Lytechinus pictus: one gene and its partner. The protein of the gene in region 2 purifies or fractionates together with the protein of the main gene of each other region. This does not show direct contact. Links are inferred from orthologs where the notes say so. Each region holds a gene or a part of one and is shown on either strand. Other genes may lie near its edges.

The links.
Region 1: the proteins of spastin-like (region 2) and nuclear pore complex protein Nup133-like purify together in Homo sapiens (affinity purification with mass spectrometry; 3 studies listed by BioGRID and IntAct, counting the BioPlex papers as one, with this or other methods). This does not show direct contact. The link is inferred for Lytechinus pictus from reciprocal best matches to the Homo sapiens genes SPAST and NUP133.

The regions. Positions count from the first base shown.
Region 1 is NC_087251.1:11,269,139-11,284,515, reverse strand, and holds the start of nuclear pore complex protein Nup133-like, read right to left. Parts: upstream 7,500-15,377; coding exon 7,397-7,499; intron 1-7,396. UniProt on the Homo sapiens protein: Involved in poly(A)+ RNA transport. Involved in nephrogenesis.
Region 2 is NC_087251.1:7,939,260-7,955,799, reverse strand, and holds the start of spastin-like, read right to left. Parts: upstream 6,199-16,540; coding exon 6,153-6,198; intron 5,558-6,152; coding exon 5,471-5,557; intron 1-5,470. UniProt on the Homo sapiens protein: ATP-dependent microtubule severing protein that specifically recognizes and cuts microtubules that are polyglutamylated.

The DNA of each region.
Region 1 (15,377 bases), about 3.3 Mb from region 2:
TTCCCTAATCTCATACATTTTCCATATATTTTGGAGGGGACTAGGATACACAATAAAAAAAGGGGAAATCACTGAAAATAACCAGAGAAAGGACGAAGAAATAAAGGAAGAAAGAAAAAAAAGAAATAAAGAGAGAGAGAGAGAGAGAATGGCTGCGGGGATGAGAAAGATGGAAAGAAAGAAAGAAATGAAGAAAGAAGGATGGAAAGAAAAAAGAAAGAAATTAAAAAAAACTGAGGGGAAGAGATAGAAAGAAGGGAAGGAAAGAAGGGAACAAATAAAAAAAGAAAAAGAAAGAAAAAAGGTAAAAAGAAAGAAAAGAGAAAAAGAAAAGGTAAAGGACTGATGGAAGGAAGGAAAAGAAATAAAACGAGAGAAAGGAAAGAAGGAAGAAAGAAAAGGTATAAGGATAGATGGAAGGAAGGAAAAAAAAAAAAAAAAAGATAAAATGAAAGACAGAAAGAAATGAAGGAAGAAATGAAGGAAAGAGATGAAGGAAGGCAGAACGAAAAAATAAGGAAGAAAAGAAAGGATGGATGGAAAAAAAAAAGATCAAAAGAACGAAAGACAAAAAAAGAAAATCAGAAAGAAAAAAGGAAAGAAAGAAAAATAGAGAGAAAAAAAAATGAGGGGAAGAGAAAGGAAGAAAGGAAAAAAAGGAACGAAGAAAAAAAGAAAGAAAGGAAGAAACGAAGAGAAAAAGAAAAGGTTAAGGACTGATGGAAGGAAGGAAAAGAGAAAGAAAGAAAACGAGAGAAAGGAAAGAAGGAAGAAAGAAAAGGTATAAGGATAGATGGAAGGAAGGAAAAAAGAAAGAAAGAAAAGAAAGATAGAACGAAAGACAGAAAGAAATGAAGGAAGGAATGAAGGAAGGCAGAAAGAAAAAATAAGGAAGAAAAGAAAGGATGGATGGAAAAAAGAAAGATCAAAAGAACGAAAGACAGATATAAAGAAAATCAGAAAGAAAGAAAGGAATGAAGGAAAGAAATAAAGAAAGAAAGAATGAAAGGAATGAAGAAAGTTAGGAAGAAAAAAAGACAGGAAGAAAAGGTAAAGAATGGATGGACGGAAGGAAGACAGTAAGAAAGAATGAAAGGAAGGGGAAAAAGAAGGAAGGATTAAAGAAAGTGGTAAACAAAGGTTGGATCAATGGAAGGAAGAAAGATAAAAAGATAGAAAGAAAAGAATGACAAAAAGAAAGACAGCTATAGTAACAGAAAAAATTAACAAAAGAAGGAAGGAAATTTAAAGAAATAAAGAGAGATCCAAAAGGAAAGATTGAAAAGAAAAGAAGGAGAGATAGGCAGAAAGAAAGAAAATAGAGAGGAAGAAAGCTCAAACTATCCAGTCATAAATAAAGAAGAAAATTTATCAATTTCCTTGGCTAAAAAAAAACAGTTACGAAAGAAACCACGTTTATCAACATACACACAATGCATATGTGGGACTGTCAAAACAATGTATTTCTGTGTGTGCGATACAGACGATCATTCGAAACCCAATCTTTTTGAAGCATAACAGAAGTGAAAATCCTCCTTTTACTGCTTACAAATGACAGAGCTACCCCAATTTTTAGGAAATATGGACATTACATGAATTTTTTTATTGGTAAGAAATGTGAATTTGACAGTTCTGTAGGAGATTTCTTCCAGAGCAAACTTCGTTCGTGCAGCATCGTACTCCGTAGAAACTACATGCATGTGCATCGGCTGCGTGGACTAGGCGCTAGCTAGCTAGGTATGCTAGACTGTCATTGATTCTGTGTGTGTGTGTACGTCTCTGAGCTGTGTGTTAATTGCAGAAAATGGCGCAAATTTTGCAATTCGAATCATGATCGGTCAACAATTAAAGAAGAAGCATTTTGTGTGACTGACGACAGACGACGGACCGCCACGCCACAAAACTTAAGACTTTTTGAAAGAAGAAAATTAATGATATTGCCTTTTTTGTGTCTCTTTTTCTTTTCTATATTTTGATGGTGAAACATGGGGAATCTTTCTAAGTAAAATATAATTTCCATAGGAGAATTTTGCTTGCCCGATTCGGGCAATCAGTTTTTGACTTTGCTTCAAAACACTTGCCCGACTCTAACTTTTACTTGCCCCGGGCAATCGGGCAAGCGCTTATGTCGCACCCTGCACCAATTTAAAGCATACATTCTACCCTTTCATAAGATGCAAAATTTGACTTTATTCTTTTAATATTTGAAAAGAAGTACAAGTATGCATTTCAGAAACTGCTAATTTTTACAAAAACAGGGGATTTAGGTCACTTCATAAAATCATGCTAACCATGTGCCTTTTTCAAAATACTTTTTATACATAATTATTCACAACTAAAATGTGATGCAAATAATTATCATTTGTTAAATAATAAATTGAGTATAAAATTGTGTTACAAACAGTGCCTCATAACGGTAGTTCACCGTCCTTACATCAATGGGAAGCGAGTTCTGCCAATTGTGTTATAAAGCGTGGGAACATTTAGTAGCTGCAATTAAGAGATAGGTCTGTCTGGTAAGAAACCTTTTAATTTCATCTTTTGTTATTGATATTTTCTAAATCCTTTATATGGATTAAAGTGGAATACAGTACAAGGTTAATTCTATTTTTCCCAAAATTAATGTGGTACATGTAAATATGGATTTTCAAGGGAAATCCGTCATTGTTTACCATGTACGACATGCAGGTCTGTAGCCCCAGTGTCTAGGCTCTGTGATGAAAAGACAAATATGATAAAAATATCATCAGAGTCCTCTAGGCTAAATGCGCCCCCGCATCGTACTTATGACATGCACTGTGCACATCCAGATCTAGACCGATATATAGGTCTATTTCTGTCAGGGATATGCTCCGCTAAGACTTTGTCTGGCTACACGGTATCCCCTTCGTCAATCGACCAATGACGGCCATTGGGCTCGTAATGGTGGAGGTTCGACCAACGCTTAGCTACAGCATCAATGGAGAAAGGGGAGCGCAAGATTCGATTACTACTTAATTCACCCTTTTGATGGGCGAAAAGGGGCGCAATAATAAAGAGAAAATAATAGTGTATATAATCAGCTTACCACCTTTCCAAAATATATACTGGAATGTACTAAATTTAAAAACATTCAAGATCTTTATGATATTTATCGGCCGATGCAAGTATTTTACGATTCATGATATTTATCGGCCGATGCAAGTATTTTTTGGGCACTGCTCATGATATTATCGCCCTCTATACGCGTCTTATAGCTAGGCTATAACAAAGATGGCAAGATGGCGACAATAACAGACTGTGAGTAAACGCTCCTCTACTTTAAATATTTTCAATTTTTTGATAATAAATATTATTTTACAATATGACCCTTTAGTTTAAAAAAGGGTCTAAATTGTATTGTAGCCCATTTACATAAGTTTGGGCTCAAAACCCTTAAGAAAACAAGTATTTTGGCAACAACTTTGTTGTTGCCAAAATACTTGGTGCGCATAGAGCAATGGCATCCCATCCCTGGCTCCGTGGAGATTAAGCACGTCAGTGATATGACATTAATCTCCAGGAACCTCCTGGCTAAGCTTGACTCCATCACTCAGGAACAGTACCCTCTTCCATCAGATTCGTAAAGATTATCTTAAATGATGTACTAGTTATCTCCTTATAAACTTCTCTTAATACTCTGGAGCTGATTCCATCTGGGCCAGGAGACTTATTAATGTCCAAGCTTGGACAGTATCTCTTCTATGTCTTGTTCCCTGAATTCAATCTCTGTCAGCTCTGTCCGAGTCTTCTTCTGAATACTTGGTATTGAAGTCAGATCCTCTTCATAATCATTATAGTTTTTTAATGTTATAATTTGTATTTTCCCCTTTTATGTTCAATGTTTATATCTGGTATTCAGTATTTATTACATCATGTATTTTACAATATCATATATATATTCAGTTTCCAGATTCTGTAAAGGTGGCAGCGCTAATAAGGCTTTCCCTTTCTAGTTGCCTCCTCATTCATTTATAAATCATGTACAATCTTTTCTTTTAATTCAACTGTTTCCCAGATTTTATCATTGTAATATTTGCAATTTTCCCATGTAATTTATGTAAACTTTGTATGTACCTTGTATTTGTTTTTATGATGAATGGAATAAATGCTATCAAATAAAAAAAAGAAGTTATTATTGTTGTCTCAATAAAAACAATATTATTATTGTCTCATTATCATTATTGTCTCATTATTATCATTGTTGTCTCAATAATTATTTTAATTATGATTGATAACCGTCATGATCAGATCTATAACGTCCATGCGCAGTGAGTCACCATGTGCAATTTTTTATTGTTGCGCCACTCACCTGTCACTTTCTGACCAAAATGGTTCTAGAAATTATTTGCAATGTTGAAAAGTGTCTTGTGGCATCTGACATTAATCCTCAGTAATTCCCTGAAATGCTGCAACGTTTGGTTAAAAGATCCAGCAAAAGAAACAGGAGTTTAGCGCAGTCTAGGCCTGGGACTTTCGGGTATTTTTGTCTTCGGGTACCCGTGGTAATTTTCGGGCGGGTACCCGAAAATCATGTCGCATGAAATATGACTGGTGGAAAAACCCCATAGGTGACGTCATCCAGCCACTGCGCCGCAAGCAAACTTATGAATGAAAATATAGTAAGCATGCGCAGTGCAAGCCTCCCGTGCCCCACGCATTATTCCATCAAAACAAGTCTGCAATACTTTGTCACTTCGTACCAAAATCGACCTAGAATTCTACTTTCCTATATTTCATATTATTTATGAAATATTTTCTCAGAGGATCTGTTTTCTCACCGATACCACACAGGTAAGCAAATTTTGATTACTTCTTGCTTTTCCGTCAAAATCTTACGAAGTAGCGTCGATATTACATCGTGTTCGTGAGTTTGTAGAATCTATCGCTACATGCACAGAGTCAATTGATTTCCGGGTAGTTTTGGAGCGCCGAATGCGCCAGCCAATCACGATCGTGTTACCATAAGGTATATCGTTAATCAGAACCGCAATGCATCATGGGATCGAAAAGGGGGCCGTTAGCAAGCTCTGCGCACGTGCAGAGCTAGCTAACGGTCCCCTTTTCGATCCCATGATGCATTGCAATTCTGATTAGCGATAAACCTTATTTCCAGTTTATGATGAACTGAAAATAGTAACACGAACGTGGTTGGCTGGCGCTTCGTATGCTCAAGCTGCAAAAGAAACATGGCGACGATCGAACGATCTCAGTCACATCATCACTTGAAAAACTTGTATATTTATGGATATTTCGAGGGTAATTGGTGAGATTCAAAATGAGACTTGTGTACTTTTGTGATGAGTTACAATCATGTCTTACACTACGCAATACAAATCAAATACTGGTAAGCAATTTTCGGGTATTGATTTTTCTACCCGGGTACCCGAGGCTTCCGGGCGAGACCCGGGTACTCGGGTTTTAGTCCTAGCCCTAGCGCAGTCAAAGTCAGACTTGCAAACTGGATCCGTACGGTGCGAATTTTAGCTGCCATTTTTCTCGGGCGACGATTTGGGTAAGAATTTTTTTTGGTGCAAAATTGAAGGTTGAAGATCGCCGATTATTGCCAATGGCGACTCACTGCGCATGGACGTTAGGTTAGATCTAGTCTAACTTAATTCTAAATATTCATAAATTTTTTGTTGTAGGTATGTTGCAAAAGCGCCCTACCTCTAGGTGCATTCTGAATGCGGCATTGAGTGTGCTGCCTATAATCTCAGGGTGACTGGGGGGGGGGGGCATTGCTTTGTATTGTGTTTGCATGTGCAAGAAAAGGTTATTCCCAATGACATTATTGTTTTTACGTAGTTGAATGTTTATGGCAGCTGTCTAGACTTGAACAAAAATCTCACTCGGTGATCTTGCAGCTCTGTGTGCTACTGGAACTTTGGCCTTGCTTTCAACCTCTTGCTATTCAATTACAGGTATCATCCCACTCTAACAGGTATTCATTCCGATAGAACAACATTTCAACTACATTGTGGTGAAATTTGAAAGAAATCTGCTGACGCTAAGTGTGTTTTTTATGTCCCTGTTTCGGCGATGTCTGTAATTTTTGGGAGTGTTGTTGGGCACTTCCATTTGCCAATGTATGCGCATTGTTGTTTTCTATTATATTAGTGCACCTTGGTCCCAATTAAGATCACAACTTTTGTTTTTAAAAACAAATTGAAGAGTCGATTTGTGCGAACTTAAAACTACCATAACTTTCTTGTTACTGGGGCTCTTGAAATGAATGAGGTATTAAATGAAAGTTCTTGATCAGCTCTAAATGATGCTATGAAGCAAACACCTCATTTCTCTTCTTTTTTTTTTTTTTTTTTTTGCAACATACCTATAGGCCTAGGTGAATTTGTTGTCTCACTTCAGACTCAGCTCAGCCTCAGTCAAAGACAAGTCAAAGAAAGTGTCTCACTAACATTATTTTAATTAGGGTGTCTGAAGCCACACTGAAAAGTGTCAGCATAAAACAGGCTAATTTAGGGGAAAATATGGCACATTTTGGGGGGGAAGTTCAGGCTACTAGAAAAATGTGATCTGAATTGATTATTAACTTGTGTTTGGCATGTATGGAAAGAGAAAATTCAGGGGCTTCTTTTGATAGTAAGGACAAGTTTATATGATCATTTTAAATAAGGATATTTAGAGATAAATTGCAAACCCTTATTTTTGTGTGTGTTGAGATTGCCATTTCTCCATGCGTTTTCTATGGGAAAATGAAATTTCTGTTTTGCACGATTTGTTTCACTTTGTCCCAATTTTTCATTGTGATCTGGTTTCCAAATCTTTATAAAAATCATACCATCAGATAGAGCATAAAAAATCCTATTGGACTCACTATGGACAAGTTTTTGGCATTAATAATAAACTTATAACAGCTCTCGGAAGCTAAAAATTTGGATTTGTGTGTGTCCATTTCTTAACTACACAGTCTATGGCAGAGAAATGCTGAAAACTTACCCAATTTCATTCTTCTTTTTTGCAGCCAATAATTGGATTTTTTTCAAAAATGTTACATTTCTGTCAGTCTGAAGGTCATTTCTCTTCAAATTCACAAAGAAAATGTGATATTTTCTTGAAATAAGAAAAATAATTTTTTCTCCAGACACCCTATTTTAATATGGTTGTCTCAATAATTATTAATCATAATTAGTATTATTAAAATTATAATTATTATAATAACAATTATTATTATCGTTGTCTCAGTTATTATACTTATCAATCTAACGTTAATCAAGATCCAGACCTCACGTTCCGATAAGGTTTTAATGAAAACCGGTAGGCCTACACAGATTTCAATAGATGGTACCGTACAACACATTCACTTGTATTGCACTTTGTATTGACGAATTAAACAAAAATAAAAATTAACACTTACGATCAGCTTGTAAAAGTACTTCTGTTATTAGGACAGGAAGCGATGGTCCAAACGTTTCAACACAGTACTGCGGTGTTTCTTCAATAACTTGAAAGCTCTGCATGATTGGCGTCGATTCCCTGACCAGTCCCAGTTTCCAATTTCACCAAATTACCCGCGTCGCCGCCGCGTGAATATGCGAGGGATATAGATCACATACGAATTATGTCATTCACAAATTGTCTTATATATTTTCCTTTATCCGAAATAAATCCCAAGTTGTATCGATCCAAGGGGGAGGGATATCCCCCTAATTAAAAGGGGCATTACCTGCTTAATCATCTCCCAATAATGCACGGTAGAACATTTATGATGGTAGTGATTATTATCGTATATAACAATCAATTTCTTTTTTCTTGTAATGTTTATAGGGCTCATATTGTATATTTTTTTCAATGATTAGGCCTATCATCAATATCATATTCATAACAACAACATCAATGATGAAAAGTAGCATTAACAATGATAATGATACTGAAAGGGAAAGGTGTATATAATATTCAAATCATGTTAAAATTTATCACAAAATTAGATTTTTTTTTTTATTAAGAGGTCAAATATTTTGCTTGCTGGCTTGAAAATAAAAATGTCCCATAGGCCATGTCTAGCCCCGGCTCAAAATTGTTAGCTCATCACATCGATCACAAACTCCCCTCTCTGAACTTAAAAAAATACATTAAAGAGAACGATGATGTAATGAGCCAAAGATTTTAAGGAGGCCAGATACAGATTAATATAGGCCTACGGTAAAATTCATTGTGATCGAGCAAAAATTTCGACATTTTTGTTACAAAAATCCTATTTTGTGATAGATTTTGACATAATAGTCGGGTAGATTTGATCAACATTATTGTATGACCGTCAAGTTGGGTATGACTGCGATTTTTTTGCTTGAAGTTGTAGTATGGGGCCCGGTATGGGGTGTCTACTTCAAGAATCCGACGGGTGCCACCTGGGAACCCTTGGGCATTTTTTTGTTATTGACGTCATAGGCCACGCCCACTTTTTCACATACCTCTTAAATATGAATTTCATATTTTAAGGAATAAACATGTTTGGTATAAAAAATTAAAGCTAATGAAAAATCAAATGTAACATTTATGGATCATTGGACAATTAGATCACGCATAGGTCAGTTAAAGGTCATTTAAGGTCTTAACAGGTCAAATTGCCTTGCAAATGTAAGAAGTACATATAATGTGGAATATATTATGTTTTAAATACAATCAAGTTGGATATTATGTGAATCTATTGGCAAAGGTTAAGTTGAGGGTGTGCATATCAAGAATCCGACCGGTGCTACTTTGGCATCTTGAGGAATTTTAAGTTTGTGACGTCATAAACCACACCAGCTTTCTTACATTCCTCTCAGCGGAATAAACATCATGTTTGATATAAAATTAAATCAAATTCAAAATAAAATCCACATATATATGAATGACTAGGCATTTAAAACTTTTCCAGGACAATTAAAGGTCATTTTAAGGTTATAAAAGGTCAAACTGGGCCACAAACGTAATAAATGCAACATATAATGTGGAATATCTCATGTTTGGTTGAGGGTGTGTATATTAAGGATGTGACGAGTTCTACCTGCTCACCCTTTGGCAATTTTTATATCTGACGTCACGAACCACGCCCACTTTTCACATATATATGGCCTATGAGTAATTATCATGATTATGACAGAAAGTGACACTTTATAGAATAAACCTAACGTGTTTGCTAACTAATTTAAGCTTATGGCAAGTAAAATGCAATTATAAAAGTTAAAAGAGATTAAATACAAGACAAGATCACCAAAAGTGCAGTAATGTTTAGGTAGGTCAAATGATGTCAGGCAATGTAACAAGAGTTTAATAAAAACATGTAACATAAGCTTGGCATCGTATCACCAATTTTCCTACATGAAATAAAACTGCACAGTGTTTTTTTTTAGTTTATAATCAAGGACAGAATCATATACAGTAACAGTAAATAATGTATAACACACAATTTCCAGTTTAAGATCAATCGTGTTGGAGACACCTCAGAAAATGACTTCTTCAACACAAATTCACATTTTAGACAAGTATCCAATTGGACAAATTTGACATTTTACATCCTCCTAACTCCACTATCATGTTGTTCTCTCATTCATCTTCCAGACTGATTTCCCCCTCTTTAGTCTCAACTGCATGTTCAGTTTTCCTTGTGTTTAGAATGACACAATGTTATTTACATACGATCTGTACGATACACGATAAGAGGCAAATGCTTACCCTAGAGCATGGTGGCCCCGATTTAAATCCACATGGAACAAGTTCTGATAATTATTCCTTGGGAGTAACTAATGTGCTATGAACAGGTACAGGAGTGTTCTCCTAACTTATACTTCCCATCGATGCATGGGAGGCAATTTGCAGGGGAGTAATTCTGATCAGTTGCTCTCCTGATCAAGCTCCTGAGGAAGAGCACCTTTGATAATCATGCTCTTTTGCTGACTTGTCAGTTGGGGGTAGGCCTATGATCTTTGAAGCATCTGCCTTCTTGCTAAATCATGTGAATTATATTAGAGAGACCATTACATTTGTTATATTAGTAAAGCAAGATGAAGAGTATGAATATTACACATTTAATTCATCCAGTCCACTTCTTCAGCATCGGACTCTATATATTAAGATATTATTCGAGCAGCAAGTTTAAAGTGGAAAACTTTCCCTTGCCAAATTGACACAACATTGTATTACAACCTGATAGGGAATCGTGCAAGGCTAGTATTTTCCTCTAAACTTCAATGCAATACCTTTAATGCCAATTACTTTTCCATCAGTATGCAAAAGACTTGCAAGCCCAAAATGAGAAGACTGGTAGAACAGAAAGGTTAGTGTCGTCAGAGAATTTTTTTACATGCATCTATTGCCATTACATCTTCAGAAGATAGTGGAACAGGGCATTGGACCTTCCGTACTTGTTCATGACACAGTGGTTGTTCCCAAGGAATTAAAAGAACCTCCTTGTCGATACAAGTCAGCGTCACCCTGTTCTACAACTTTTAAAGATTAATGCAGTTGCTGGTCGGCCGTCGAATCACGTATTTCATAGTTCATACTGCAAGTGTGAATCAAAGTAACACATATCTGGCAGAGGCATGTAGTTGAGGTTGTTGGTGAAGGGGAATCATAATGAGCATCCGGTCGAAGAATTATGGTACAGAGGGTAGTTGTGAGAGGAATATAACAGGACATTGTGTAAGATGTTAAATTGGTGTAGATTATTTGGAATCCCATGGAATGATTTGATACAAAATGATAAATTAAACGTTTTGTATAAGTCCTGTGAAAGTCGAGCAATCATCAACATTTCATGCGTGTAAATGACTTAAAGGGCACCTTTACATGTGCTTCATTTTTTGGGTAACCTTTATGTACATTCCATTTTCAATAAGCTTTAATTTGATACCAAACATGATATTTTCATTTTGTACGCTAGATATTAAAATATATCATCAGACAATGACGTTGCCCAAGGTTGCCAAAGCAGCCGAGCTTCGTCAGATTCTTAATCTGCACATCCTCAACATAACTTTCAGCCAAAAATAGACCTACATAAATAATGCCTAACTTGTTTGTATTCCAAACATGATATATTCCACATTATTTGCTGCATTACTTACATTTGTGAGCCAATTTGACCTTTTATGACCTTAAATGACCTTTAATTGCCCTGGGCACGTTTTAAATGGGTAGCAATTCATATTATGTGGATTTTATTTTGCATTTTATTTAATGTTATTTCAAACATAATATGTTTATTCCGTTAAATAGAAAAGTCATATTAAAGAGGAATGTAACTGAAAGTTTGTGTGGTTTATGACGTCAGAAAAATAAAATTCCTCAAGATGCCAAGGAAGCATCCATCGGATTCTTAATATTCACACTCTCAAACTTAACCTTTGCAAAAAAAATGCATATAATACCTAACTTGTTTATATTTAAATCATGGTATGTTCCGCATTACATGTCTTACTTATATTTGTAAGGCAATTTGACAATTTATGACCTTAAGCGACCTATAACTGACCTATGCGTGATTTAAATACACAGTAATCCATATATTTGCATTTGATTTTTCATAAACTTTAATTTGATACCAAACATGACATGTTAATTCCGTAAAATATGAAAATGATATATAAGAGGTATGTGAAAAAGTGGGCGTGGCCTATGACGTCAATAAAAAAAAAATGCCCAAGGGTGCCCAGGTGGCACCCGTCGGATTCTTGGAGTAGACACTCTATACTACAACTTCCAGCAAAAAAAATCGTAGCCATACCCAACTTGACGGTTATGTTGGGGTGTTACTTGACTAAAGCGTTGAAGTTCTGAAATTTCACCTTCACCTGGTCTAATTCAAGTGATTTTTCTGATATTGTATCTCTTGATTACGAAGAAAACAGAGTACACAATGGTTAAGCGCTTCAGGCTCACGCGAAGCTTGGAATTCTCTGTGATTTATATTTAAAAAAAACCCAACAAACCGAACAGTATATATATATATAATTTTGCTCATAATGGTGCTTCCAATTCAAAATTTAAAATTACGTGAATTGAGGGCGCAAACAAGACAGGGGATGGTGTACAGGGATATAGAATAAAGTTTCATCGCATATATTATTTTTGTATGTAGCATGCATGGTATAAATTTAATGCCTGCCCCTACGAGCAGATACCTGCCAAAAATTGCTTGCTAAATAGAGGAAGAAATAGCATATGGGGAGTGACGGTGTTTACCCGCTCCGATCGGTAGCGCGGAAATCAAATAGCCATAATTATCTTTACCTCACAAATCATCAATTTGAAATAAATAAGATAACTTTTCATACTTTACACACCCGCTTCTACGTAATTCTGTACGCGAATGTATACTTTTATACTGTACGGTAAAATAACTGGGGAGGGGAAAACGGGGTAGAAAAGGGGTGTAATTAAGAACAGGGAAAGACAATTTTGTAATTTTACCAGAGCGCGTAAGCAAAACTTTTTTTGTATGAATTAAGAGAGAGAATACGTCTCGTTCAGGTTTTTATTCTTTTGAGAAAAAAAAATAAAGAAGAAAACCAATAAAGCTAAACCCTTATTATTTTTTCTCCCTTCACATTTTTTACCTTTTCACCCCTTTTCCTTTTTTTTGGGGGGGGGGGATTTTTAAGGGGGTTTGGGTGACCGCCCACACCGCCCCCCGGCTACTCCCCTGAATTTAGATTTTGAGGGTAACAGCAAAATAAAAAAATAAAAAAATTGATACAGCCTTCCCTGAGAAGTGATAGCTTTTAAAGTAAACTGTCGATGCATAACAATATCCAAAGACCGAGTCTATCGATGGGAAAATGTTACAAATTCCCTACTGCTTTTGTACATCGTATGACATTTTTTTTTTTTGGGGGGGGGGTCAAATTACTTATTGGAACCAGGCATGAAATATTGAATATCGTCATGTATTGTAACTTACTCTGTTACGACGGAGAGCTTGAATCACCAAAGAAGTGAATTGTCATGTGGAACAGATTCAAACTGATAGACAAGTGGAATGCCTCTGGCGGTCTCACCTGCATCAGCAGTGCTGACTTTAAAAAACACAATTTAAATAATTATTCACAAAAAACACCATTCATATAATGATACAATACTACGTTCATTGACATTGGACCTTGATCATGTGACCTAAAACTTGTCAGTGATACATGATTACCCCTATATCCACATGTTATACACTATATCTATAAACTTTGAAAGTAATGACAGCAATCTAATAATTACCTCTAAAATGGCCAAAGTTCAATGACCTTAAATGACCTTTGACTTTGGTCATGTGACCTGAAACTCGCATGAGATGTTCAGTGATACTTGACTACTCTTATGTCCAAGTTTTATGAACTAGACCAATATACTTACAGAGTTATGATGGCAATTCAACAAATATCCCCAACATGGCCAATATCCATTGACCTTTGACCTTGGTCATGTGACCTGAAACTCGCACAGGATGTTCAGTGATACTTGATTACTCTTATATCCAAGTTTCATGAGTCAGATCCATAAACTTTCAAAGTTATGATGGTAATTCAACAGATACCCCCTTTACGGCCAAAGTTCATTGACCTTTGACCTTGGTCATGTGACCTGAAATGCACACAGGATGTTCAGTGATACTTGATTACTCTTATGTCCAAGTTTTATGAACTAGACCAATATACTTTCAAAGTTATGATGGTAATTCAACAAATACCCCCAATTTGGCCAAAGTTCATTGACCCTATATGACCGTTGACCTTAATCATGTGACCTGAAACTTGCACAGGATATTCAGTGATACTTGATTACTCTTATGTCCAGGTTTTATGAACTAGACCAATATACTTTCAAAGTTATGATGGTAATTCAACAAATACCCCCAATTTGGCCAAAGTTCATTGAACTTTGACCTTGGTCATGTGACCTGAAATGCACACAGGATGTTCAGTGATACTTGATTACTCTTATGTCCAAGTTTTATGAACTAGACCAATATACTTTCAAAGTTATGATGGTAATTCAACAAATACCCCAATTTGGCCAAAGTTCATTGACCCTATATGACCGTTGACCTTAATCATGTGACCTGAAACTTGCACAGGATGTTCAGTGATACTTGATTACTCTTATGTCCAGGTTTTATGAACTAGACCAATATACTTTCAAAGTTATGATGGTAATTCAACAAATACCCCCAATTTGGCCAAAGTTCATTGAACTTTGACCTTGGTCATGTGACCTGAAATGCACACAGGATGTTCAGTGATACTTGATTACTATTATGTCCAAGTTTCAGGAATCAGATCCATAAACTTTCAAAGTTATGATGGTAATTCAACAGATACCCCCAATTTGGCCAAAGTTCATTGACCCTAAATGACCTTTGACCTTGGTCATGTGACGTGAAACTCATGCAGGATGTTCAGTAATACTTGATTAACCTTATGTCCAAGTGTCATGAACCAGGTCCATACACTTTATAAGTTATGATGTCATTTCAAAAACTTAACCTTCGGTTAAGATTTGGTGTTGACGCCGCCACCGCCGTCGGAAAAGCGGAGCCAATAGTCTCACTCTGCTATGCAGGTGAGACAAAAACTATATTTATTTATTTATTCAGTCATCTATTTATTTATATATTTATTCATTTATCTATTTATTGATTTTCTTTATTTGATACTGCAGGGTAGGCCTGTTTAGGTATGCAAAACTGCTTTCCAAAGGCGCCTAGCTGCAGTTTAACAAATAACTCAACATCATAACAATTCAATGTATGTAACATAATAAAGTAAAAACAGCATACATTATATAGATAGAGTGAATCAACAATTATCATGGAATCATTACATCAACATCAAGTTATTCAATTTAATTACATGTATGACAGTCAGAATTTTTATGATTTACAGTGTTTTTTTAATAATGGAGGGACGTGCATTTTTGTATATCACAACGGAGCGAATTAAATAAGACGGCAGCAACATATTCAAAAGATTTTCTTTTATAATGGTATTTGAAGGGGACGTTGTTTAGAATATCGTGTTTTATAAGTTACATTACGTTTGCAGATAAGTGGTCCCAGATAGGCTGTGGCTAAATCGTTTTGTATTTTGAAAGCAAGAACATAATATTGATATTTGATACGTTCCTCCACGTTTCTCGTGCTAGATTCAGATAGTCATCATTAATCCATGGTACACCTCTTTGCTTAAGACGCACTGATATAAATGGGGCATGTCTATCACAAATTTCCAACAGAGTACTTCTGATTAAAACTCCATAATTTTTCTACATCCTGACCAGATGAATAAAATTAATTCCGGTCAATTTTGCTCATATCTTCTTTAAATGTGTGTAAAAATAAAAATGTTTGAACTTGCGAAATTTGC
Region 2 (16,540 bases):
AACCCTGACGACATTAAGTAGGTTTTCATAGATTCCTACGGCAATCATTGACCCAAGATTGAGTTGTCTCTATTTTAATTGACAGTTGCGCCCGACCTAATTAAATAATTCATATGATAATAATGAAATATCATTCCCTTGTGTCTATAGCTGAGATATATTGGTCAACAAGTGAAGGCTTGAGTGACTCACTCAAAAGATGGAGATGGCAAACTGGGGATTGGGGAAGACTGGGGTATGAAAAGCCCAGGGGGTGAGAGAGGATGAGCAAGGGGAGGGGGGGTGATAGATGGAGAGAAGGATATGGAAGAAGATACGAGGAGGAGAGGGGGCTAAAGGGATGCAAGAGGGATGGGGAGAGAAAATGAAGGATGGTCGGGAGAAGGGAGAGGGAAGTTGGTTGAGGATTTGTTCTGAGGGGGTGGATGACAAAGGGAGGGAGAAAGATCAAAGTAGATGAGATAGGGAGTAAAAGTGTGAAGGGGGGAGGTTTAGCTGAAGGACAGTTGAGGGAGAGTTGAAGAGGGTATAGGGTGAGAATAATGTGAGAAATTAGAAAACATATGGAGATGGAAACGGAAGAGGACAGTAAGGGAATATTGAAAAAGAATAAGAAAGAATGATAGCAAGAGGAATACTCATCATGTTAGGAGATGGTAAAATTCCAAAATTGGAACATGTCAGGACTATCTAATTGAAGGACACCAAGTCATAGAGTTGAATGCAGTATTGATTGGCCTTATAATTACCCTCACATTGGCCTTTGATATTTTTGTGGCCTTTTACTTTTTCCTCAATTGTGAACCCCCTAAAATTGAAAAGAAAGAATAAAATACAGCATAAAAGTAAAGGGGAAGTGGAAGGGGAGTGTGGGTGTGAGGGTGTGTGCGTGGGTGTGTGAGAGAGAGAGAGAGAGAGAGATGGACACACAGAGGTGGGGTGGGGGGTAAACGAATGAAATCTAATGCATGGTGCATGATACAAACAGCTCACCCTGGAATACAAAATGCAAACAAAGATACTTGTTAATTTAGCAATATGCCTACCCCTATTCATCAGTTAGGCTACTCATTTAAAATTCATTATCCCTGTACATGTATACAGTACCTCAAGCTATCCAACAGTAGTACTAGATACAACATGTATGCATCCAGTTTCCAATTATTCTGAAAAATTGAATAAACAACTAATCCTTTGATCCTACAACATATTCGCTTATCAACAAAGCGCTGTCAGACAATGGCTTTTGATTAATAACTAAATATAATTGAAATATTGAAAAGCTTAGTTTGATTTGATCTATTGCATGAAAATTAAAATTTGATTAAAAAATAAATAAAGACTTACTCCTTTTATTTTGTATTTCAATGTCAACTTAATTCATTAATTTGATTTTAGTGTAAAGGTTTGCATCCCCCCCCAAAAAAATGTGCAGTCATTTAACCCAGTTTATTTCACTGGATATAGCTTTAATACATAACCCTTTCTTGTCTATATCCTATTCATAATGGAATAACTAAATAGACTACAAAACTTTCTGATTGACATTCAGGTATAAGTAGAAAGATAGAAATAGATTCACATTTCATCATGAAAATATATAAGGCTCTGATGATTGCCAAGATGAACAGTAATAGTACAGTTCTTCCACATCATCTCTTGAATGAAGATTTTGTAAATATAAAATTGGATTCATCAATGTAAGTCAGGTACATGCAGCTCTTTAAAAATGTTCACCTGCATTGATCGAGACACACATCCTCATGATGTCATGTTCCATCAAACAGCATTTTGATAAAAGTTTCTTTTATGTGTGTGACACCTTGAGGGATGGGGGTACACTAAAAGCATTGTAAATAGACACAGCCATAGTATGACTTGTATTAATGTAGACTCTAACCAAACTCCCATGGATGTATCCTTACCATCTTCAAACAGAGAAACAGCATTGATATTGACATTATCGCGGATGAATCATGAATAAAATCATATTCTCATTCTTGTAACATGACATTACACAGTGGCATTATAAGAACAGGTATATACCCAAAGGACGTGGCTTTAACTTCATCACATAATCTGTTATAATACAAGTGTATCGAATTTCTTGGGTTTTCATCAGGTATGAACTTAAACAATTTCTATTTTTCTGATAAATGGAAAGATATATGCTCTCATATCATTCTTATAATATTAATTAGTTTCTTTTTTTTTTCTTCTTAGGTTGTAGGTCTGAAATATAATCCACGTACTTTTTATTTTATAATTCATATTCTTTGGTAAAAAGGAAAATCCAAGTCATCCGATAAATCATTAATCCTGGATTTGTACTTGATGCTTCTTCACTCCATGTTTAAACTTTTTACAGATAATTTTGCTTCATTTTTGTAATGACTCATTTCATAATTTTTTGGGTAGACTGTCGATTCACTTTATAATTACTCAATCATTGTATTCCAATGTTAACAATATTCCAGTAACATAGCTCTACACCCCAAAAAAATATATAACCGTCATTGCACTGAGCAGTATTTCATATAATGTAACATTTTATATATTTGTTCTATTTCAGTCAGTTATTTTCCTGGTGTGGCTTTCAACAAGGAACTTCTTGATTTCATGAATAAAATTGAGGGAAATCCTCACATTTTCATGGGTGCATCATTGAAATACAACAGACACATGTAATAACGTCGATGTCTTTTGAAAGGTTTCTGCTAAATTTACATGAAAGATACACCATTGGTGAGAGACAGAAGGTTTTTGTAGTCTATCTTGTGAAGTGACTTACCTCCTTTCTACTTCCAAGCTATTGATATGATGACATGCTGACTCAGCTCTTCTCATACCTTTTATTCATCTACTCAAACCCCATTCTCTCACTCTATCACATACATGTACACACTTTCTTTTATGCAATGACAAATTAATGAAATGTGTAAATTTAATGTTTCACAAAGTCAGAATCGAGTACATACCATGATACCTGCTTGATGAAAAAGAAAGAAATAATGGTATAGGACTGAAGTTTAAGGGCACTTCTGCTTCCTTGCTTCCTTTCTTCTCCTCCTTCTCTCCCCCTCCCCTCTCTCCCCCTTCTTCTCTCTTCCCTATCCTCCCTATACTCTTTCTGTAGAGCTAAGACATTATATCATTTCTTAATATAATTCCAGTTTTTCAAACTAGATTGTAAAATGACATCATCCTGCTTCCACCAAACCAAGTTGATATCTACCTTGGATACAATAAAGACCAATCAACCATCCATATTCATACAAAACTACAATTTACCAGAGGTCTATTGTGATGTAATGACTCTTCTGCGATGAATCATACCCTTTCTCCTAACCATCCGGCAATCCAGTAACAGATCTATTGTCTTTCAATCTATATCTCACTGCAAACACTCTTTAAGTTCATCCCGCACTACCATTTATCGTCTGCAACCATGAACAATGAATACAGCGTGGTAATAACTTGTTGCCATAGTAACCATGTTTGGATCCATATTCAGCCAGGGTAGTGTAATACAAGAAAGCTTGGAGGATAATGTTGCAATATCAGAAGGCATGCAGTGATAGAATACGGCTGGTAAACAGTGGGTGAATCAAAAGGATAAACAAAAATGCAATTAGCTTGCAGCAACTTTTCTTGAGATCTTTTCCCTTTCTCCCACACTTTCTCATGTTCTGCTGCTCAACATGCACACTACATAATGGTCACCACACGCTTTGTATCCTTATGCATTATAAATTCAGAAATTACAATTATAGTAAAGATTGGTATTTGGTAGATAATCCCTATCTTGTTCAGACTAAGACAATATATCCACTATCCAGTCATTTTGCTTTAATGTATGTACTATATACATGTACAGTATTGTTTCCAAAAGATATAGAATGCCAATAATACAAAATGTGCACCTTTGCAGTGAGTTATCATTACTTGACCAAATATGTTTTAAGAATTTTTCATGTGTTTTATTCACAATTATTTTGATTTCATTAGTCATGTTAAGAAATCATCATACATGTCAATTTAAACAATGATTCTTCACTACTTGTAAACATAAAGCTACCAACAGCCCGTGCCTACTATCATCATAAGATGTAGAATTAGAGTGAATAAAATCATGATAATTTTGATCTGATAATTAGTAATGTATGTCACAAGACTCACAACATCAGTACCTTAACGACCTTGAGTTTCCCTTTTCAGCATAATGATAGCACATCTAAATCTTGTTAATCCTTGGCATGCAACACATGTTATCTTCATAAGATGTAGACATGGGGAGAAGAACTCTATAAAGAGCAAAATACCTTCTTAAAGTGTAATTCAACATAGTGGCCCGAGTTCACAAAGGAGATTTAAATTCCGCCTGAATTTGGTCCAATATTTTTTGTGTTTAATTTTCCAGGATAAGGCTGATTAAAAAAGGTTCCCTACCAAACTTTAAACTACTTGTCAAAGTATCACTCACATGCATGTACAAAATACCACTGGCCCAAAATAATTAGGAGACATTGAAGGAATTGAAAGGTATAGAGTATGAACATCTGATAGGCCCCTTACATATGAACTAATTTTTTTTCTTCAAAAAACGTTGTTTCTATGAAGCCAATCAAGACCTTAAATTGAAAGTCAGAAAGTATCATCACCAAGACCTTGTGGTCTTTATTGGAATTGACCTGTGGGACCTTGAACTGATTGGTTATGGAGATAGTACAATCTCCCTATCATGAATCACTACACATGGGACTAAAGGGTAAAAAAAGATGATTTATCACCCCTATACATGTAAATCATCTATCTAATTGAGTCATACAGAGCAGACAATTGACCGAATAAGCAACTTTTTGGCATCACTATTTGCTACCTGATAAAATAAAAAAATCACTCTTGTTGATAATGATTCATTAAATTAATTTTATTAACTTAAAACAAGTTTGAACATGTTTAAAATATTAAAAGATTAGGTGAAGGACTTTTTGAAAATAATCATAAGCAAAACATGTCTAATCTCAAAGATAGTTCAAACCTTTCCTACAGCAAGCCACACTTTCACAGAAACATAATGGCAACACACTTCAGTCTATCCATTAAAAGCTACTGGAAATCTCACTCGACTGTAGTTTTGTTTTTATTTGAATTCTTATTCCTTGGTAGTCTAATGACATCATATTCCACTTGCTGGTGAAAGTGAGCATACCCCTCAAGGCTAATAAAATCACATAATCCTGTCACATAATACATAGGGTTTTAGTAGCATTAACAAGACTTTTAAAGAGCCATCTCATTGATTTGGTTTCTGATCTGATGCATTATTGATCTTCCCAACTTCAATGGTAGGTTGTTTACTGCACTGTGCAAATATACAAGGTTTGAAAATGTTGAATTTTGATCTCTTTATCTTTAATTTTTTTCATAACAGGTTAACACAAACGCATTAATCATGAGTTCTACTTACTTATTAAGATGTTCAATCTTTCCTTTGCCATCGTAAGGTTTTTCTTCATCTTTTCTTGTATTTTACGGGCTTTCTCCCATTCTATTCCTGGATAAAAGATATGGAAATAGATGTAAGAATAAAATTTAACAAAAATCAATACAGGTTGTACAAAAAAACTTCAAAGAGTAAGGTGACTTTAGATTAAATTTATGTTAAGTGATAACACCCAATCAAAGAGTATAGAACATTGTGATCAACTTCATTGATTGGAAAAACCAAGAGAACACAACTCTCCAATAACACAATCTAATCTAATCTATCTGTTATAGACTCCAGAAAATCAATATGTAAATGTGTTTTTAATGGAACGTTAAGTCTAATGTAATTAAATTAAATATAAAAAAGTGATTTATCTCACTTTCATTCAAACATTTACTTTAAGCAGATATATGAAATTTCTCCCTTAATAAAGAAAATATTTTATTATTTACAAATACAATAAGTGTAAAAACTCTCATCATAATACACATATTCAACAACAGAAAAAAATTGCATTGCTGTAAATGCTAAGAAATTGGAAGGATCCTGACATAGATTACAAATGACACAAAGATGGAGGTATCTCATTTAAAGGATTTAGGTTATTCATCAATGGATAATGAGAACTTGGGAAGGCATTACTAACGGGTTCAATCTATACCTAGCTCAAGGCTAGAATTCAATGATCCTGCAACAATTCTCATCATGGTTTGATCATGGATGTATTCCACCAGTTACAGGCCTCACGGGCCTATTAACATTGGGAAAGCAAGAGATATTCATTCGAGCCAACCCATTGCTATTTTTTTTATTTTGATATGGCTGATTGACAAAGTGTATGCATATGATTGTCCATCTAACACTGATTCTATTTTTGGTAATTACTGAACTTCCTTTTCCCAAATTGGGAAGAAATATCATCAATTTTGGACTATATTTTGACTGGCGGAAGGATTAGGGCTATTTTGCTGTTTGAGGTGATGAATCTGCTCCCCCCGACGGTGTCTTCAAACACGCCAATTTATTTTTAAAATGAGCCGGTCGAGGGACCCTTTTCTGGTCAGATATGGATTGCCAGATATATATCCTATCCACTGGTAGTAAACATTCGACCCCCGAATTTCATCCTTATTTTTTATGAATTTTTTAAAGTGCCAATTTAACACACGAGTCTATGGGGAATGAATTAGGCCTGTGAGACCTCTAACCTTGACCATAGCCTATTACAAGGGGAATTCCCTAGTTGATGAAATACCTGCCCAAACTCTTCAGTAGCAGATTGCTTTCACTAGTATACATGTTTCAATCATCAAGAGGTCCCAAAACTCAACTTCATGGCTATATACAAGGCTACAGGGGGTATAACAGGTAACAAATTTGTATTAGTAACTCTGTGTTTGTGTACCTAGGCTAGGCTGTGTAGGCTGGGTGTTTGTCTCTGCGTTACATGTTGTCGTGTGTTTTCGTATACCGACGAGTGCTGCTGTAAATTGTGTATAGCACCCATCACAAGATATAGTACACATTAGATAGGCCTTGCATCAATTGCACTTGTGAAATTGGTCCATGGGGAAGGGAAGGAGAAGAGGAAACTTTAGAATTTGACTGAAGAGTGGTGGATTCAATAGGGAGGGGGGGGGTAGAGAAAAGCATAGTTAGTATGTTTGGGGGGGGGCTGAGAATGAGTGCTACTGCTATCTTGTTCAACTTTTACTGACTTCTAGCCAGACTAGCCCCCATCCATTTAGAATACAAGCCATCTAACCCCCCTCTCTCCCTGTCTCTCTGACACCCCTTGGGCCCTTGTCATAGGAAGATGTGAATGCATTAGTATGCTTGTATGTTGATTCCCATTTCTTTTTATTGTTATCTAATTTAACTCATGTGAATCTGGTATTTATATTGTGGGCAGATCTTGCATCCAGATATGCACACTATTCATATCTACAATTTGTATTATAGGATTTGGGCCCTACATTGCATCCATTGTTGAGCTACATATAGGCAGGTAGGATGTGTATAAATCCATAGGGCACTAGACATTAGGAGTAACATTAGAATTGGTAATTACATAACACATCTGTATATTTCATGCATTTCTTTGTGATAAAGTGAGTGTACAGATGTTAAAGAAGAGCCAGGAAGGTAAATTAAAAAGAAACATTCATGTGCCATACATTACAGGCCTCACGGGCCTATTAACATTGGGAAAGCAAGAGATATTCATTCGAGCCAACCCATTGCTATTTTTTTTATTTTGATATGGCTGATTGACAAAGTGTATGCATATGATTGTCCATCTAACACTGATTCTATTTTTGGTAATTACTGAACTTCCTTTTCCCAAATTGGGAAGAAATATCATCAATTTTGGACTATATTTTGACTGGCGGAAGGATTAGGGCTATTTTGCTGTTTGAGGTGATGAATCTGCTCCCCCCGATGGTGTCTTCAAACACGCCAATTTATTTTTAAAATGAGCCGGTCGAGGGACCCTTTTCTGGTCAGATATGGATTGCCAGATATATATCCTATCCACTGGTAGTAAACATTCGACCCTCGAATTTCATCCTTATTTTTTATGAATTTTTTAAAGTGCCAATTTAACACACGAGTCTATGGGGAATGAATTAGGCCTGTGAGACCGTTACAGAAGATGAAGAGTAGAAGAGATGATGACATGATGGTGGGAGAAATGAAGCAAACGTGGGAGGGGAGGATGGAGGAAATATGGATACAATTCACAATGTGAAAATAATACCAGCTGACAAAGGAATAGACGGCAAAATAAATATGAATATAAACTTCTTATCTGAGTTAATCAACTACAAAATGCAATTAAGGAGGTTGGTTCAAATTGTTTATTAATACTTCTTGTTTTAGGGTGTATTTATTTATTTTCTTTGTCATCAGCATCAGCAAATAAGATCATTTCAAGCTACAATATATACACATGAGTTTGCTCATAGGAACACAGATGTTCCTGCTAGTGTGCCCATTTGCCACCTTCTCATTAAAAGCTGAATCTGGACTGGAGTAAAGATTCAATGAATTACAGCTCCTTCTAGCAGAAATTACATCATTTAATTGTTCAGTCATAAATGCATGGTCTATGATGAATAAAGACTAACCTCTTGATTGGCAACTGTACAAAGCTTACAAACTGGTCAAAAATAGGCTTCATCATGAATATTCATAATAACCTGAGCTTACGTGAGTCATGCTGGCGACACTATAGCTCTTACATGAGAAAACAATGCTGGAGGGGCCATTGAAGGTGACGAGACATGGGTGTGATCATGTGACCCGTGTGCCGAAACTACCACCTGTAGGTTTACCCTTCCACTCATCATCTATTCCCCTCCTCCTCAACCTTTCATTTTCCATTCTCGTCACGAAAGAAGCAGTCCTCAAGCTCAAAGACCAGTATTCCCCAAGGAACAACATCCTCTCCCAAAAACCTGTGGGCACCTCTTCAATTACTTAATCACACCCTTTCTCTTGTACCATTCTTTTCCATCTTCTTCTTAGAAGTATATGAAAAAAGTATGACGATTACATGGCAACCTGCAATATGATAGGACAGCATGCCCAAAGACTAATCCATTTTACAGAGATCAACCATGTTTGAAAGTTCCACATTGGTATCTCTCTCATCTTGCTCCTCTCTATTCTGTCCGGTTTGTTTTCGATGAACCTCTCTTCAACAGCTCTTTCTCTATCTTTTACTCTTGTGGTGTTGTTTATAACCCTGTCTATTTTTTAAACACTTTATTACTTAATATCTTTTGCAGCATGATGGAAATAAACATGAAAACATATTATTGACTATGGGAAAATAGTGAATAGAACTACAAGAAAAGATTAAATGGAGCAGGATAAAAAAGAGGAATGGAAAATGAGGATTTGAACTAGTCAGTGACTTTAATGAATTCAAAATTTAATCAGAATTCAAGACCATCTCACCAAAAGGCGAATCCTGTTTGAGTTTTCATTCATTCACAGTTTCATCGATCCCCAGAGTTTCGTCAGTGGTGCAAGGAGAAATCAATATTTGGGTCGGCTTTTAAGCAACGATGCGTTCATTATGCCATCGTGTCAACCATGAAGGTTACGATAAATCAACGAAAGGCAGAATGAAAGGTGTAAAACTGAATCATTCATGAGTGAATATATGAATCTCAATCACACTTCTCACCCAGTGGGTTATACCATTTAGAGCCCATCTTCTGCAATTCTTCACAACAATCATCTCACATTGCAAGAAATTTATCCACATTGTGCTGCACTCAACCCAGGTGAGGTGAATGGTTACCTGGTGGGAATTTAATCCTTGAAATGCAACAGTTGCTCTGCTAAAGCAAGGGTAATCATGCTGCATTACCGTAGAGCGTTTTTAATGGAGACTTCTCATAATAAAGTGAATGTTAAGCGCTATATAAGCACATATTATTATTATTGCTGATACACAAGCATTGCCATTAAGGGTGTGTTCAATGTCTGTTTCTAAATCTAAATGGCAACATGAATCATGATCAAAAACGTGATTACAAAAAGCGGATATAATGAGAAACAAAGGGTGTGTTCAATTTCCTCCATTCCCAGTCGTAAAAGTAAACGTCTCTCAAATCATAATTTGGAGGAAAATTTAAACGTCGAAAAGACGCATTTGTAAATGCGATCAGCTATAGATTTTACGACCTTCACCATCGTGAATGCAACACTGAAACATCTTTAAATTTGCTCTCACAGTGGAAGCCTACACAAATAGTTGCCAGAATTTGCCTTTACTGTGATGGGTCAAACTGCACTTAAGCTGCGCTAACAAAGTGGGCAATTTAAAGATGGTCAACAAATAATCAGCTATATTTTCGACAATGAACCCTGCACCGCTGATTGTGTTTGTGTTCTGTGTTTCGTAATTTGAGTTTTCAAACATGATTCATGCTGCCGTTTAAATTTGAAAATCAACATTGAACACACCCTAATACTTTTTATTCATTTTTATTCAAACCACCTATATGTAGCTATTATAAAAAATGTTAAAACTGTTGTTTTCAACTCATCGTACGGCTGCCGTAGAGCAAATGTGTCTGAGGTATAAGGCAGCTAATAAAAAGTTAGAGTCTCTTCTTTCGCACAGGAATCCCATAAGCATCTTTCCATCACTATTCCTCACTCCTCACCTTCGTTATATAGATAAACCAATGGGAATGATTATTGAAAGTAGATCCCTAAGCATTGTATTTAAAGACAACTAAGCCACAGTAAACTTTTGGACATTTACTTTGCTAGTTTTCAGTGATAGTTTTCTAAGTTTTAAACCATATTGCTCCAGAAATGGGATCTATTTCAATAAAAGTATAAACCTTGATGATATTTTCTCTGCATGTCTTCATGGACTGTATATCTAAAGCAATGAAGAACACTCTTTTTTACTATATTAGTTGCAGAATTTTAAACAAGTAAGAAATTACCACATTGATTGAAACACCAGGAAATAGGCACACATGGCCTTGCATACAAACACATTGATTTTACAAGCGAGAAGTTTCATTTAACCATCTCATTAACATTCACAGTCATGAAGTCATAATGTTGTGATGAATAGATGGGTTGATGGCAATCATGTGAAGCTAATGTACTGCTAATGTGTAGCTATCAGACAGGCACAATACCATCTCCCCTAACCCTCACCAATGTTCCCTGGAGATAAGAGCTAACTCTCGTAAAAAAGCTGTCACTCAATTTTTGAAGCACAACTTCTTGATTGAAGAGATAATGTAGCAGCAAAGTAATGTTTAATTCAAACCACACTCAACATTAATTTACTCATTGTATCCTGCACAGCAAGATTTTTGTTATTATATAGATACTGATCTAAAAAGACAATTATTCTGAGGGTGGACCATTGGACTATAATATTCAGGAATCAATTATCTTTTTTTCTTATGGTCATAACTGACATGATTGGAATAGAATGCACCCTCCCCCCCTATTTATCATCACCAGAGTAATGTAATTGAGTAAATTTGTTTTTATTTGAAGTATTTTTCAGAAGTGCCTTGTGGAGAAATCCAAGCAGTGACTTGCAAAACTCTACTGCAAATGAAAAGTCATGTTGCTCCCCTGGAATATCATACTGATCTCACTTTCTAATCAGTGGTAAGTAAATGTTAAACCTTGTACCATTTGCCTTCCGAATAATTTTGAAGGATAAATATTGATAGTAGTTCTTTGGCTAATTCTTCTCTACTTGGCTAATGTCGGTCATCAATTTACAACTGATTTACATTGATAACTTTTTGGTATTGCATTCGTTTTATTGTTCTCTCTTTAACTAAATCAGCATGCTGTTGAGGTAGCTATCACAAAGAAATGAGGGGTATGTTTGTTTCAGACACCATCTAACATTTTCAAAGGATTTTGGTATCTGCGTTAAAACTATTTCCTTTGGGACTGTACCTTCAGGAAATTAGTACTAATACAATCACCTCAACTCCTCATAGTCAAGTAGAAGCAGGGCGTGTCAAACATATAACTAAAGCTTGTTTATTATTTTTTTCTGAATTAAGTCTTGGTTTGTACAGACTGTGTTAGCTGTTAGCTAATGTTCTTCTATTTCAAACTGCATATCAGTGAAAACTTGATAACGATTCAGAAGAGATGTTCCTTAATGGACATTCCTGTCTTCAACAATTTTGAATAGTAATCCACTTATAATTGTAGTAGCAGGTTGTTGAAATCTGAAAAATCAAAGCCATTCTTTGAATCTTTAAAGTGGCCATAACTGCCAAAGTGGATTCCGAACTGGTCAATTGACCGATACACCTTGATGACAGAGTTGGTCACTGGTCACTGCGTAGGGATGCTTGGGGTGGAAATGGAGCAGAAATGATGGGTGAGTTGATCAATTATTCATAAGGGCAGTGCTATAACCATGATAAGAGCTATAAATATCATTCATATCAAGCCTGGGGCCTTTCTTCAGAATATAAGATGAGATAGACATGTATACCTTAATGGATGGAGCTACTCAGATGAAATAGATGCAGGGAGAGAAATACAGATAATATGGAAAGAACATGTTCGAACAAGGGTGGGGGGAGAGAGAAAGGGAGAGAGGGACAGGGAGTGAGGGAGAGAATCATGTATCATCATATATTTCATCGGCGTTCATCCAAACCGTCTTTTCAGTCAATTTTGGTTTGAGAAAATGATTTTGAGATTTTTGCAGAAAATTAAATTACAAGTCCTATTCTATACCTAATTAAATATCTAGGCAGCGATTTATTAAACATTTTCTGAGATATCTGGGGATTTTCACGGCGATGCCATAGAAATTTGTTATAAAAATCGTAAATCCCATTGGAAATTTGTACCGTAGTAAAGCAAACAACATCCGCGCACATTGAATATGCAAAATATGCGTGGTCAGCAAAACCTTCGTATTTGCACTTTGTTGCAAGCATGTAGCTCTTTTGCGATATATGTTCTCTGATTCTTGGTTTTAAATAAAGATACCATTGTCAAACAATTGTCTTGGTCTTTCCAACCATGTACTTTTCTACATGTAGCAATGGAAATGTTGTAAGGCTGGGGAACAAAATGTGAAAATTATAGCAAACTTTGAAGTATATTTTCTCTGAAATGGGTTTGCTATATCGTATGTGTAATACGACCGTTCAGATGACCACCAATGATTTGTCCTCCATCATATAGAATTGTAGGTTTAAAGAGCGATAAAAATCAAAATGAGCAAAACAATTCTTAAGGCAAAATGCAGGGGGGGGGGGTAACTGATTGAATCGTACGATATGAAGCGTCACAGAGAACACATTTTTTTTATATTTCCCCTATTTGCAACATATCAAACTAGATCAAGAGAAGGTATTAATGAAGACCTCATTCCTTGAAAGCATCAAACTAACAGCTTCACTGGTAACATCAGGGTACATACAATGTGCCTATTGTTTTGAGATATTTATTTAGTTCAGCGTTACTGGTATACAATGAATAAAACAAAACAAAACTTAAAAAATTAAAAGAAATGTATTAGAATTTGACAATTTAAAAAAATACTCATTTTAAAGTGTTACTAGTCAAATATATTAGCATCTCTAGCCTGATTAAATTTGTTATTTCCTTTTATTCATAAAACAACAACTGACTGCTATGCTTACCTACAATGATTACTCATAGCTTGATTGAATTATAGTTGTATGTTTCTTATTTGATATTGATTGATGACTAGTATTTAAGTATACACCTTCACAGCTGGGGACCACTTTATCATTTCTGGCCAATCAACATCACTTTCCTTCAAAGACATAAATACCCTTTTTACACACGCTAAAATTTCCTTAACCCCGTACTATAGGTGGGGCTAAATTGTTATTTAGCCCTACCTATAGTAAGTTTAGCCCACTTTCTTTTTACACAGCATTTTTGCAAAGTGGGCTAACCCCACCTTTAGTACGGGATTATTTGGTCCTGCAAAAAAGCAGGGTTATCCCAGCAATTGCGGTGCTAAGAGCGAAAGTACGGGGTTAAGATCGCTAGTGTAAAACGTAAGTGGGCTAAGTGCTCCCATTCATGCCCCGCAACAGAGCCGGCCCTGTTGTCCAATCAGAGGTAAGCATAATGAATATTCATGAATAGCGAACACGGCGATGAGAAATTCCGAGTGAAGTACTTGAATGATCGACAAATGTATTTAAAGCGCGCGTGATTTTGGATATGACCCGAATGACCCCTCAGTGCGCTCGTGAATATTCATGAGCTACCACTAGTCCGGGGTTAGCGAGTTTCGTGTGTGAAAAGCAAGCATTCCTTATCCGGGGTTAGCAATAACAATTTGGCATGTGTGAAAAGGAAAAAAAATAGTACGGGGTTAAGGATAGTACGGGGTTAGCGATAGTCCGGGGTTAAGAAAATCCTGTGTAAAAAGGGTAATACTCATTTTTCTTTTTTAAATTGGCAGCATTTTGATTGATTGACTAAATTTGTAAGGAAGCTAATTTTGTCTCACAGTACATAAATAATCATAAAGAAATGAATAATATAATTTGGAAGACCTTGATGACTGACTCTTTTTCTTGAGGTCAAGCGGTAACTTTCATTAGACATCGTCAAAACCAAATATTTCCTTCTCATTAAGATGTCAGAGATACATCATGTTGTTTATTTGCTTCCCCCAAAAAAATCAATTGTACATTTCAAGGTTTTGAATGTCAGATATTTACAGTGTATTGGCAATGTCCTGTTCCTTCTTGAAGCTATCCCTTCCACACCTTACATGTACATGTCAACATCTATTTCTCCATCAATCCCACTTTCCTTCCTCTACCATTCTCAAAAACACTCATTCCCATCTCAAATGTTACCTGAGAGTCAGATTCAATGTACTCTCTGGATTCGGTAATTGGAAAGAGAAGTAGTAGGGAGCATGCGGCTTTCTTTTCCACTGATGATAGTTAATGTGAAGCCAGTTTTGGAAAAGGTCAGCATTTATCTTCTGTCCTCAAAGCTTATTTTTGCATGGCACTGAACCACAGTTGGGCATATCATTGTAGATGGGTAAAAATAACATATAAAATAACTGTCACCATATATCTAAATCTAGGGCTAGTACCCGTATATCATTTTATATGCAAAATTAACTTTGTGAAATCATAAAATGTATAAAGCAGATATACAAGCAAATTGAAGATCACGAAAACAGATAGGGACCATAAGCCATAGTCCGGAGTAGCTTACAAAGGAGATGCAACAATAAATGTTATGTTTTATCTGCTGAAAGCAAAATTGGGCATTAAATGCTTCATTGTTTCAACATGTATAAGACTTATTCCAACCAGGCTGCTGTTTGCAAAATTACATACAGGGTTCCCCCACCAATATTATTTTATAAACAGACACAAACATTCACACAAGCAGTTCTGCATTTCATGCTTTGGTCCCTTAACGATAACTCTGGCAAAAATATATTTAAAAAAAAAAAATCCCAATAATATTTCATTCTTGAATGTTTGGGATCTAAAGGCCAATAAATGTTTACAGAATTGTGTGTCACATTCAACACACTTCAGTAAATAAAAAAGGAACATACTGATACCTCAAGCAAGAATCTTTGCAATAGATAACCCAGGAGAAGACTTACTATTTTTTTAATTTACTGTTATATTCATACTTTACCTGGTTTACTGCAGTCCACAGCAATACCCTTCTCGAGCTCATCAACTCCCTTCCTATAGTACTCAATTGCTTGACGTTTATTACCACCTGTATTCAAAGATGAAGGAGATAAGGTGTAGGAAAATGTTAACCATCTACACATACTTGTATATAAAGACAGATATAATGTATGCTTTTGTTTGATATTCATGAGATTATCAGATATCCCTCTTGCAGCTCAAAAATAATATATCTGGAAATTACAAAATATATACATTAATACATTGCACTTTTTCTGAGTGAGGAAAATACCATAATTTTCTCCTCATGTGAAACAAAGTTTCATTCCTCCCTGAACATGTGATATTACCATTGCTTTAAAATTTTATGGTTCTATCAAGAGTGTCCTTTTTGTCAAATCTGTAGTTTGAAATAAATTGTATTGTTCAAATGATAAGAAACAAAGTCAGTGAGTGACATAATCGACTCTCATATTTGCATATCATCGAGTTGTGCATGTGAATGTTTGGGGAAAAATAAGCGAAGTGTCAAAACTTTCTTGATTTACATAAAATTTTGATGAATTTTTTATCTATGCTTATTTTTTCTGTATTGATTAAAATCAAATTATTTCTGGGGTGGACTTGACCTTTTTAGTTTAACCTGCAATAAAACTAGGCAGTAACTTTATCAATTCTAGGGTAAATAAAGTATTATCAAAAATTGTAGGCACAGACGCATTGATACATGAAATACATTTCAAAATATGCATCAAGATTTTAATATCCTCTTATTGCCCCCCCCCCCTTCTAAAAAAAAAGAAAAAAGACACAAGCGTACATTTGGTAGTATAAACCACTACAGAATACATCA